Elephas maximus indicus: one gene and its partners. The protein of the gene in region 2 purifies or fractionates together with the protein of the main gene of each other region. This does not show direct contact. Links are inferred from orthologs where the notes say so. Each region holds a gene or a part of one and is shown on either strand. Other genes may lie near its edges.

Evidence for each region.
Region 1: the proteins of SIKE1 (region 2) and STK24 purify together in Homo sapiens (affinity purification with mass spectrometry; 4 studies listed by BioGRID and IntAct, with this or other methods). This does not show direct contact. The link is inferred for Elephas maximus indicus from reciprocal best matches to the Homo sapiens genes SIKE1 and STK24.
Region 3: the proteins of SIKE1 (region 2) and STRN4 purify together in Homo sapiens (affinity purification with mass spectrometry; 3 studies listed by BioGRID and IntAct, with this or other methods). This does not show direct contact. The link is inferred for Elephas maximus indicus from reciprocal best matches to the Homo sapiens genes SIKE1 and STRN4.

Annotation. Positions count from the first base shown.
Region 1 is NC_064832.1:93,223,856-93,227,602, forward strand, and holds the start of STK24 (serine/threonine-protein kinase 24), read right to left. Parts: upstream 2,687-3,747; 5' UTR 1,823-2,686; coding exon 1,745-1,822; intron 1-1,744. UniProt on the Homo sapiens protein: Serine/threonine-protein kinase that acts on both serine and threonine residues and promotes apoptosis in response to stress stimuli and caspase activation.
Region 2 is NC_064821.1:165,760,593-165,764,339, reverse strand, and holds the start of SIKE1 (suppressor of IKBKE 1), read right to left. Parts: upstream 2,905-3,747; 5' UTR 2,823-2,904; coding exon 2,664-2,822; intron 2,437-2,663; coding exon 2,331-2,436; intron 1,414-2,330; coding exon 1,271-1,413; intron 229-1,270; coding exon 115-228; intron 1-114.
Region 3 is NC_064829.1:102,266,645-102,270,391, reverse strand, and holds the start of STRN4 (striatin-4), read right to left. Parts: upstream 2,472-3,747; 5' UTR 2,337-2,471; coding exon 2,055-2,336; intron 1,966-2,054; exon of another isoform or gene 1,928-1,965; intron 1-1,927. Other genes in the region: ribitol 5-phosphate transferase FKRP, read left to right, coding at 3,667-3,747. UniProt on the Homo sapiens protein: Calmodulin-binding scaffolding protein which is the center of the striatin-interacting phosphatase and kinase (STRIPAK) complexes.

The DNA of each region.
Region 1 (3,747 bases), on a different chromosome or scaffold from region 2:
AAATTGCACATGTAGAAACTATTGAATTGGTGTATGTTTTGCTGTGTATATGCTCAACAACAGCAACAAAAGAAATAAAACTTTGAGAGAAACACAAAATGCCAATGACACCCTGCTGAGAAGCACTAACCTGGGCCAACAGAACCCCACAGGATAAGGAGTTGTCAACCCTACAAAATACATCTTCTCTCACAAACATCCCCTATGAGGAAGAGGATTCCAGGCTAACCCTCAGAAGTCTACTAATCACTCAAAGAAACTGAAATATTATGAAAAAAGAAACAAGGGGGAAAAAAGGATTGAAAATGAGAAAAAGAAAGACAAGAAAGAGAAGGAAGAATAAAGGGAAGATGAGATACCCATAGACCAGCAAACTGAAGTGGGTCATCTACACAATATTAGGGTAGTCTCAGCAGCATGCTGACAACTAACAACAACGAGTTAAATGAGCTTTATGGGCTGACCAGGTGCTAACCACTAACTTGCTTTCGAAGGTGAAGCACACTGAGCTCCAAGCAAACCGACTGAGAAGGAACTCGTCAAAAACAGCACATTTCCAATTTGGAGGCCTTGCTGTGCTATACTCTACGTGAACCAAAAACCAAAACCCAGTGCCATGGAGTTGATTCCGACTCATAGCGACCCTATAGGACACAGCAGAACTGCCCCATAAAGTTTCCAAGGAGCGCCTGGCAGATTTGAACTGCCAACCCTTCAGTCAGCAGCCGTAACACTTAACCACTATGCCACCAGGGTTTCCATAGTCTACATACACTGTGAAAATAACATACCACGGTCATACAAGGGTGACTTTGTTAACACAAAGTGAGGTAGAGTCCAAGCGCTATGGTGAGGCTTCACACTGAGCAATGTAAAAGCTCATAAAACCCAGCAACCAAGTCAGTAAAAATGAACAAGGTACGCTCTGGGGTTGCTAGGAAAAAAAGGACACGATAGAGACGGTGTCATTTAGAGTTCTGCCTGCTCTGGAAGTGGGCTGGCCTCCTTAATGTATGGTTTAAAAAACTGCCAGGAATTACAAGTACCATACTTTTAACCAGGATTCCCTTAGCTCATAAAATGAAACAAACATTCATCTGCAGAAAATGAAACTATCTGTTCACCTTCATTTCCACTTGAAGTACTGCACTAAATACATCGACCGGGTTATTAATATTGAGATGCATTTTTTTTTCTTAAGCAATTTCTAAACAGTTTTCAATCATGGAGTTGGGTTTCTAACGTCTTTTATATACCAAATGGACCCAGGATGCCTGAATATGCATTCCAGACTTTACAAAACACTGACCTTGATTCCTTGGTTTACCAAGATAATCACTGACAAGCAGTCAGGAGCCCTGGGTAGTTTTTATTAAGTGAGGATTGTTTTTGAAGCTAGTGGAAACCCCTAAAATATCCTCTATTCATACAATTAGAAATAAGAATTACTGTTTTCAAATTTATAAAGTACTCCAAATTAAGAACCCTTCAAAGCAATTTTGGGGGCCACTCCCACTGAATCCCAAGGAACCCTTGGTGGGTGTGTCCCATTCCACTCAGCCTGCATACACCTGCCCAGACTGAATCTCCACTGTCACCGTCATCTCCGACACAAACTGCTAAGGATTAAAGGATTCTAGGGGGTGGGGAGACAGAAGAAACATTCATTTCCTTATTTAAGTACAAACAAATACAGCAGTGAGTGGCTGACGCTCACTTTCCACAGCTACAATCTTTCCCTTACCTCCTTCCTCCCAGGATGAGGTAGGATGACCCTCTTCTTTTTCAAGACCAATCCTAAAAGCTGGGCTTTAGAATCCATCCTTCTCTCCTCCAGGATACAGCTTCACCAACTTCAATTTATCCCACTCTACTGGCTCTTTGCCCTTGTCATATCAACGTGCTCAAGTTTCTTCAGTAAAAAAAAAAAGTCCTTGACCCTGGTCATTCCTTCACTCCTTCCTCTGTAGTTCCGTTCAAGAGGAGGTCCCCTGAAAGTCATCAGGACCAGCCAAGTCTCCACCTACCACCGGACTCACTCCTCAGCCCACTGCAGCCTGGCTCTGCCCTCATCACAGCCCTGAATCAGCTTTCGCATGGGCACCGATGACGCCATTTCTGCATCTCCTCTGTGGCAAGCTATACACTCAGTAGCCACACACTCCTCTGAACTTTCCACTCCCTTGGCAGCTGCAACCCTGCTCTGCACTGTCTTTGTCCAACCTCCCTAGTCCTTCTAACAGAAATCTTCACTTGTAGACTCTACCCTTGCCAGACCTTCCACGCAGACAGTCCCCAAGACTCTACACCTGGCCTCCTGTCCTTCCCAGGGTTGTCATACACAGGCCCATGGCTGGGGGCCGTGCTTCCCAAACCTGCCTGGTGAAAGTCACCTGGGAAACTTAAAGAAAGAGATCCCAGCACGCTTGCAGACATACATGGGGGAAAGCACACAATCCACCTTTTAAAATGCTCCTATTGATCATCATGAACAGCCATCTCAGTAGAGAAACTGTTTAAAATTATTGTGTAAATGATAACTTTCAAATTGTTATCTCCAGCACTGCCTTTTGAGTTTTAACTCCTAGTACCAATTACTAGATATTGTCTCTCTCTACCTGGACATCTCAAGGTCAACATGGACAGAGTGAATCTGCCATTTTACCTGTTGAACTGGACCCTCCCTGCCATCTTCTCCCTGCTTCTCACCCATCCCCTTTTTTAAACTCTGTATCTACGGCATGTCACTGATGGTCAATAAACTTTCCCTCAACAATAAGGAAACCCCAGGTTTACAGTGACACAAATGAGATTCTGGTTAGTATTACAGAGAATATCCTAATTCAGAGAGACAGGAGGCCCTGGGAAAAGGGGCATAAGGATGACAACATCTCTGGCTAACAAGGGTAAGGAACAGGTGATGAGGGCCTGACTTTGCTAAGTTGGGAGCAGTCGTTCGCAAATCTCAGTCTGCATCAGGGTCACCTGGAGGGCTTGTTAGAACACAGATCTGGGGAGGGGCATTTCCAGAATTTCTGAATTTGGTAAATGTGGGGTGGAGGCCAAGAATTAGAGAGTTTCCAGGAGATGCAGATGCTGGTGGTCCAGGGATCACACTTTGAGAGCCGCTGCTTAGACAAAACGTGAAGAGAAGCAAAACAGCTTTGACAAGTCGATGTGCCACTAAAAAATGACTTGTTTTAGGTCAACTTCAACCTGACTATTCCCCTGCCCATATTAAGAAAAAAAGTAGCATGTCCTTTCTGAGAGTTAAATAAGAAAAAGAAGCCAACAAGAATTTATCCAAGCCCCTACAATGCTGGAAAGGTGCTTGACTGGAAACTCTGATAGACTGCCATGCCTCCCAGTGCCCACACCCTCTTTACACCATGGCTTTGGCACTCCTCCCTCCAAGTCAAGAAATAGAGTCTACTTCCCCATCTCTTGAACCTTGGCTGGCCTTGTTACCTGTTTTGACCAGTAGAACCTGGCAGATGTGATGATGTGGGGCTGCCAAGCCAAGGCATCAAGAGGCCTTGCAACACTCCCTTCTTCCAACCGTGCGACGACCAGGCAGTGAAAAAGCTCAGAATCAAAGACCGTGCAGTGAGCGAGGCCCATCCCAGCCACTTCACTGATCCTACTTCAGATCCCGGATATGTGAATGAGGTCACCATAGACCATCCAGCCTCAATCATGCAGCCACACGCTCACTGTAGCCACTAGCTGATTGCAGCCACATGAGGG
Region 2 (3,747 bases):
GCACACATGAAACATGCATACATTGCAGTGACAGAACAGTAATAACATATATATCTTCCAGACTTCATGAAAACTCCGTGAAACATTGTAGACCTAAAATAGCAACAATCTTACCTCTAATTGGGCTAGTTTTTCCTGAACCTTACAATACTGGTCATCATCCACCTGAACTGCTTTCCTCATCACTTCTCCCATTTCACAGATTCTGTCAATTTGACTTTCAATTTCCTGTGACGGTATTAAGAAAGAAAAGGTGAAAAAGTAATCATTTCTACAGATATAAAGCTCATGAGAACATATGCATTATGATTTAAAAAGTTCATTTAATCCATGCTACAGAGGTTACAATGAAGCTTCACTACATAATCTGAGTCCTCAGGAGTAAAGCCGTAATAAAGTGGCCTTGTAATACTCAGAAATAATTTCTATTTTCAAAAAGCCAGTTCTAGTGTAACCACTGGATTTTGGACAATATCTCTAAGTGGCTGTTTAACTTAAGTTCTCCCGCTTTCATTGGGAGGAAGCTTATCACATTCCAGGGTGCCTTTTTCCATCTTTGGACATCTTAGAAAGTTCTCCTATATCATATAAATCGTTTCCTTCAAGGTTCAGTAAATTGGTAAAATTCATTTTCCTCCTCTAGATGAAAGCTTAAATGTAGCTATCCCTATTCCTTAAGACTTTTGTTAAGTCAATAAAGTCAACAGAATCTAAGATGAAATTGATCTCTCACTAAATTCCACCGTAGCAAACAGCGAGGTTCAATCTATTAACCCAGAATTAAGTGATATGGTACCTGTGAATGTACCATGACAACTGTGAAGCATCTTATAAATATAAGTACAATTATTGGGTCTCCCAAATTAAATCATAAGCAGCCTAAGTGTAGAAACTACGCTACACATACTTTTTAAACACCACTATTCTCTCCTAACAATAGAGCATGATGCTATGCAGTTCAGTTTGACACTTTCAACACTAACTGGCATTATGTTTGGTGCAAGTGCTTAGCATTCCTTAGCGTTCTGAAAAAAGATCTTGATGCGGTACAGGGAGAGGAGGGAACCGTGGGCCACTCAAATAAAAGGCACTGAGTAGCTCCTCATCCCCTTCTGATTATCTTTACAAAGCTAAAGCAAAATAAACAGCAATTGTGATAAACATGAAAGGAAACACAAGGTTATTTTTCTTGGAAATCAAACACAAAATCTAAAATAATTTCCAGATTTCAATTCAGTTAATTTAGAATTTACTTATCAGAGCTTCTTACTGCAGAATGAGACTGGTGAGCTTTCAGGACTGGTTCAGCATCCACTGCTTTTTTAGCGACCATCAACTGTAACATCTGTTTCCGGTACTTGCTCATGATGAGTTCTAAGGCATCCTGGTGTTCCTCCAAGGAAACCCATAGTTCTATCAAAAAATAAAATAACTTGGCAGCAATGTCTGAGAAACCACTCCCAAAACCAAACTCTTAACAGTTGGAATTTTACGACACTCCATAAGATACTGTGAGTCCAAAGTTGTAAATCAATGTTTAAATCCACAAAACTAAAGAGCTAAGGTTTATGTTAAAAATAACTTCCTAGGCAGAGACACCATAGTCTAGTAGAAACACCGTAGGGTATGAAATCAGAAGACACAGGTTTGAGTACAGTTCTGTGACTTACTAGCTTAATAAAAGTACTCCTGAGCAAATCATTTAACCTCTCTGGGTCTATTTCTCAGCTGCAATACTGTAATAATAAATACCAGGCTTGCCTATACCAAAATGAAGATACAAGAATACAATGTGAAGTAATATGTGAAAACCTTCTGTAAACTGATATGTAAGTGACTATTAAAAAAATTTTTTTTAATTAACACTACCATCATTAATAACGTAGTTAACATGTTTAAGAATATATATCCTGAGGATAGAACTGTTCCTGCACCTTATGCGATAAGAGTAAAAAAAAAAATTTAACTTTAATGTTTATTTCGATTACTATTTAAACATTAAATTCTAAGCCCTTTGAGAATATGAACTCCTTTGTTACGCAAGCCTCTATCCGGGGATATTTAAACACACCACGCAATAATTCAATTCTATTAAGCACCACTTTGATGAGCCGTCTATAAATGCTAAATCAGTCAGATGACCTTGAAAAAGATATTTAGCAATTACACCACACCATTATTGGTCTAGCAAGTGACACTCCTTTTAAAAGTATTTACCTGGGAATACGTATAGGATGTCCACGTTTGTGAACAGTTAAGGCAGTTCTGCAAGAATTTCTGAACTGCTACTGGAAAAAAAAAATCGTAACTACACAAAAAGCCTGACTAACCTCTGTTTTCCTGCTGCAAGTCTCTAATCTGCGTGTTCTCTTGGGACAGCAAAATGTGAGGCTTGTATTTAGACACGTCCTTCACATCGGATGCATCCTCTTGATACTGGACAAACAGAAAGACAGACTAAGCGCGCCGAAAACAGGGGCAGATACAACTGAAAAGGTAGGAGCCAGAGCTCCAGGCAGTATTCTCAGCCCCAACTCGGCAGACGCCTCACCGCCGCCCTCTAAGACCGGGAACAAATTCCAGGCCGAGTTCTCAGTTTACCTCGCAGTCCACACCTCAAGCGCCCAGAACCCGAGGGCACGGATCCCCCATCTCTGCCTGACCTGGTCCGGAAGCGCTGCCCCAGCCTCCCGCATAGCTGCCACCCGCCGGTGCAGTGCCGCCGACTGATCCACCAGCGACTCAGCGGCCGCATCGTGCTCCCGCAGCCTCTCCAGCAGAGTCTTGGCGTCTGTCAGGATCTTTTCGATGGTGCAGGTCATAGCGGATGCACGACCCCACCTGTCCGCACCGCTCACCTAAGCAAAGCGCCCAGATCTTCCTTGAACCCTTCTCAGCGTAACATACGTCACTTCCGGGAAAGTTGGCCAGGCGCCTCAGCCGCCGCGATCTATGCGCCTGCGCAATGACAGATACGTCCTCAGGTTGACCCGCTTTAACCTGCGCCTTCGCTTCAGCCCCGCCCACCGCAGAGCTGACGGCTTGCACTGGCCGGGTTCTTGTTTTCCTGTTCCTAAGCTTGATGGGTTTCTCTTTTTTCTACTGGCTTTTGGTTAATGTGGGTTTTTTACTCAGTCATCGTTTTACTCTAATTGCGTACTTTTTTGGTTTTAATTCAATTAATACATTGAAAATAAAATTAGTCAGAAAAACAACTTTTTTGTCATTTGTTATATCAGTTTATAAGAGTTTTGCTTGTCATGTTTGTACGTCAAACTTTGCTCTTTTTCATTCATTAATTTAATAAATATTTTTGGAGCGTCTTCTTTATTCCAGGCACTGTTTAGTCTCTGGGAACACAGCAGAGAATAAGACACAAGGTCTCTCAAAGAAAAACCCCGCGACCACATGTGTCACAGAATAGAGCTGTTCATAGGGTTTTCTTGGCTGTAATCTTTATGGAAGCAGATCACCAGTTCATCAAGCCTTTCTCCCATGGAGCTGCTGGGTGGATTTGAACCACTAACCTATAGGTTAGCAGCCAATGGCAAACTTCTTGTGCCACTCAGGCTCCCTTTCTCCCATTAGGGAGCTTATGTTCTAATGGGAGAAAGAATTTATACTCCAATGAATAATTTAAGGCAGTGAGAGAATTAGGAGCCTGGTGAAGGGGTGAGAGTGCCAGAGCCTTAGTGAGAGGTCAGAGAAACGCGGAGGGAAGGGGAATTTGGGCTGTTCTGTTCCCAA
Region 3 (3,747 bases), on a different chromosome or scaffold from region 2:
ATCCTAGATAAATTATTTACCCTCTTCAAGTCTGTTTCCTCTTCTGATTTTTTTATGGGGGGAGGGGCTAAATATCACTCACTCTCCCAGACTATTGCAAGGATTAAATGATAGCGTGTATTTAAAGTACTTAATACACTGCCTAGCACATTATAAATGCTCAATAATTGGCAGCTGCTATCATTATCGAAGGAGCCCTGGTGGCACAGTGGTTAAGCACTCAGTATGAACCCACCAGCCACTCTGCAGGAGCAAGATGCAGCTGTCTGCTTCCGGAAAGATTACAGCCTTGGAAACCCCATGGGGCAAGTTCTACTCTGTCCTACAGGGTTGCTATGAGTCGGAATCAACTCTCCAGCAATGGGTTTGATTTTTTTGGTTTTATCATTATGAGGGTAATGACGATGGCCCTGCCTACCTCATGGGGTGTTGAGAGGATCCAATGGCATGTAAACTGGGAAAGAGCTTGAAGAGTACAGAAATGAACACAGAAGCGAGGGGCACTTACATAAGGATTCCTCCCCCAGCCCAGCCCCGAACCTCCGCTACCACACAGCTAAGATGCCCAGTGGGGTCGGAGAACTGTGGGATGTATTCAGATACCTTGAATTTGGAGGAGAGAGGCCTCTATTCACACTATAGATAAAATTTTTGTTATTTATTTATTTAAGTCTCCACCTCAGGTACATAGGAAACAGCAAATCAGCTGAGGAAAGACGGGCTGCTAGAAGCAGGTACTGACAACCTCTACCAATAATACCCCAGGCCAGGAACCCTCAGACACCTCATGCTGTCCCTGGACCCCTTCAGATTCTCACATCTCTGATCCCCAGGATCCACTAAAAAAAAATAAGCACTGTGCAAATGGACCCATGCTCCTCAAGGTCACAAAACCCAGCCCAACTCCCCGGCTGCTTCCACCCATCATCCCAGGGCACATCCCTCTTCCAAACTACTCCACAAACACATTTCCCCCAGGATCCTTCTGAGATGCCTCCTCCCCAGATGCCTCCTCACTGCCCCCATCCCAGGTCTCCTCCTTTCTACAGTATGCATGCCTGACACCCCACCTCTCCAGCTTAAGGTTCTCTATCTAACATCCTCCGCACGTCTCCCGTCTCACGGCCAGCCCCCTACTCCTCCACACCCCCAAACTGGAGTTTCCTTCTCAAGCTCTTCCACACAGGCTCCTAGGGGACATCCTCTGCCCTGTCCAAATCTCCATGCAAAGGATCCCTTCCCCAAACTGTGACCATACATGCCACAACTCGCCAAAGTTTTCTCCCTACAGGGGAGGGTACACACCTCCATCCTGGACCCGTCGGATCCGCCTCTAACTCCAGTCCTCACACAGACATCTTTTAGTGCTCCCGTCCAAACGCTCCCAAACATGCCCCATCCCAGGCTTCTGACACCCTCTCTATCATCCCGGTTCCCCGCTCGGACTCGTCCGCGCCCTCAGCGGGTCCCAAGTCCTCGTAGACATCCCCTCTCTCCCACCCGGAACCATCAGACTCCACCTCCATCCCTCGGTTGGTCGGGGAGGAGGTGGGAGTCCCTCGGTACCCCTTCGGCTGCCTGCAAGCTTTTGCTCACTTCCATGCGAAACCACTCGGATCTCTCTCAGACCCCTCAAACGCCTCTCACAGTCTTCCTGTGAGTTCCCTTAGGTTCCCCTCCCGCCCCAAGTCCCCTTCCCTGGGGAACCCCTCGGCCGGGCGGCTCACTCCCACTGCTGGCCGGGTCAGGTCTCCTCCCGCCCCTTTCTCTCTGCCGGTCCCAGTCGGTCCCTCCGGCCCCCGGGTCTCCCCTACACCCAGTTAGAGCCGGTCCCAGCCCCCAGATTCCCTCAGGATCCCCCTCAGACGTCCCCTCACTCCCTGTGCGAGCCGGCAGCGGTCCCCTCCCGCCCCCCCGGCTGTCCCGGCGGCCATTGCTCCAAGATGGCGGCGGCGGCGGCGGCGGGTGAGGCGAGGCCGGGCCGGGCCGGGCCGGGGGCCGGGGGCCGGGCGGGGGGCCGGGTGGGGGTGCCGGGGTCCCGGGGCGGCGCTCACCTGCAACTCGGCGCGTTCGGCCTCCCAGCGGGCCTTCTCAGCTTCGAAGCGCGCCCACTCATGCTGGATAAAGTGCAGGATCCCGGGCAAGCTCAGGGGCTCCGGCCCCGCTGTGGGCCCGGGGCTGCCTCCGCCGCCACCACCCTTACCTGCCGGGCCGGGCCCGGAGGCAGGGGCAGGGGCCGGGGCCGCCCCGCTCGGGCCAGGGCCCGCACCGGAGCCCAGCGGGCGGCAGGAGGAGGCGGCGGCGGCGACCGCAGCGGCCGCTCGCTCCTCCATCATGGAGGCCCCGGGGCCGGCCCGCGCGCCCGCTGTGCCTCGCGCGCCTGCGCGGCCGCGCCAACCTCTGCGCGCGCGCCCGGCGGGAGGTGGAGGGGCAGCAAACGAGAGCGAGGCCGGGCGCGCGCCTCGCCCACCGGGGTCGACCCCGAAAGCGCGCGCGGGGGTGGGCGGGAAGGGTGGGCGGGGCGCGAGGCTCCCCGTTCGGAGAAGCGAGTCTTTGGGAGGGGCCACTTTTTGCCCCCTCCTCTCGCGTCGCCCAATAGAGAGTGTCTTACCCTCTCCAGCCCCAAATACCACTCCCCTCGACAATCACTTTCGCTCTTTGAGAGAAAGGGTGACCACGGGGGGGTGGTTTCGGCCGTGGCACCTTCCTGATTTCCTGGCCCAGGGCGGTTGTCATGGTAACCCTTCCCCCCAGCCTAGGGCCCCCCCCCGCGCGTCTTTCCTCTCCCCCACCTTTGTGGCTATGGACCCCCACATACCTGGAGGAGGTGCTAAGGTAATCTTGGTCCTGATGGGCCTTCTGCCCCTAACGACCGACCTCGGTTACTATGGCATTCCTCCTCACCTAGCACCCAGGTAGAAGAGACCCCGAGCCCCAAGAAGACTAATGGCTGAGAAGCACCTTTTCCTTAACCCCCCACACCACCCAGTTGGAGTTGCCATGGTAACCATCACCCTCTTTTCCTTCGTGGGAGGCCCCTGGGCCAAACCAACCAGGTGTTTTTATTTAGAGGAAGAGATGCTCTGATGAGGAGTAGTTGTTATGGTTACAGGGCCTGGACCATCCCCAGGGAGGTGAGAAACAGGCAAAACCAAGCCCTGGTTGCTATGGTAGCAGGGTCAGTCCCCTTCCAGTGACCCTAGAACCAGGCCCCAGAACCCTACCAAGGTAGGGGACATTTTAGGATTGTCTTTTGAGTTGGAACATGTCTAGGGAAGGGGTTGTCATGGTAACAGCTTCTGTCACTTCTAGCCCCACCTTTCTGGACACATTCATGAGAGGGGAGGTTACAGATTGCTATGGTAACTGACATCCTTCCCACTCCACCCTCTCCCCCTCCTGAGACGCGCCAGGTGGTGCCTGAGCTTATGGGGCATCCAGAGAAAGGATTTCCCGATCCTCTTGTTGCCACTTTTGTAGATAAGATGAAACCGTGCTGTGTACTAAGGAGCCCTGGTGGTGCAGTGGTTAAGCACTCAGCTGCTAACCAAAAAGTCGGCAGCTCAAACCCACCAGTGGAGAAAGATGTGGCAGTCTGCTTCACTGAAGATTTACAGCCTTGGAAGCCCTAGGGTCATAGGGTCACTATGAGTTCAAATTGACGTGATGGCAGTGGGTTTGGTTTTTGGTTTTCAGGTGCTCTATTCTCCAGAATTGGCTGATTTGGGGTTCTCTGGTTCTCCTTCC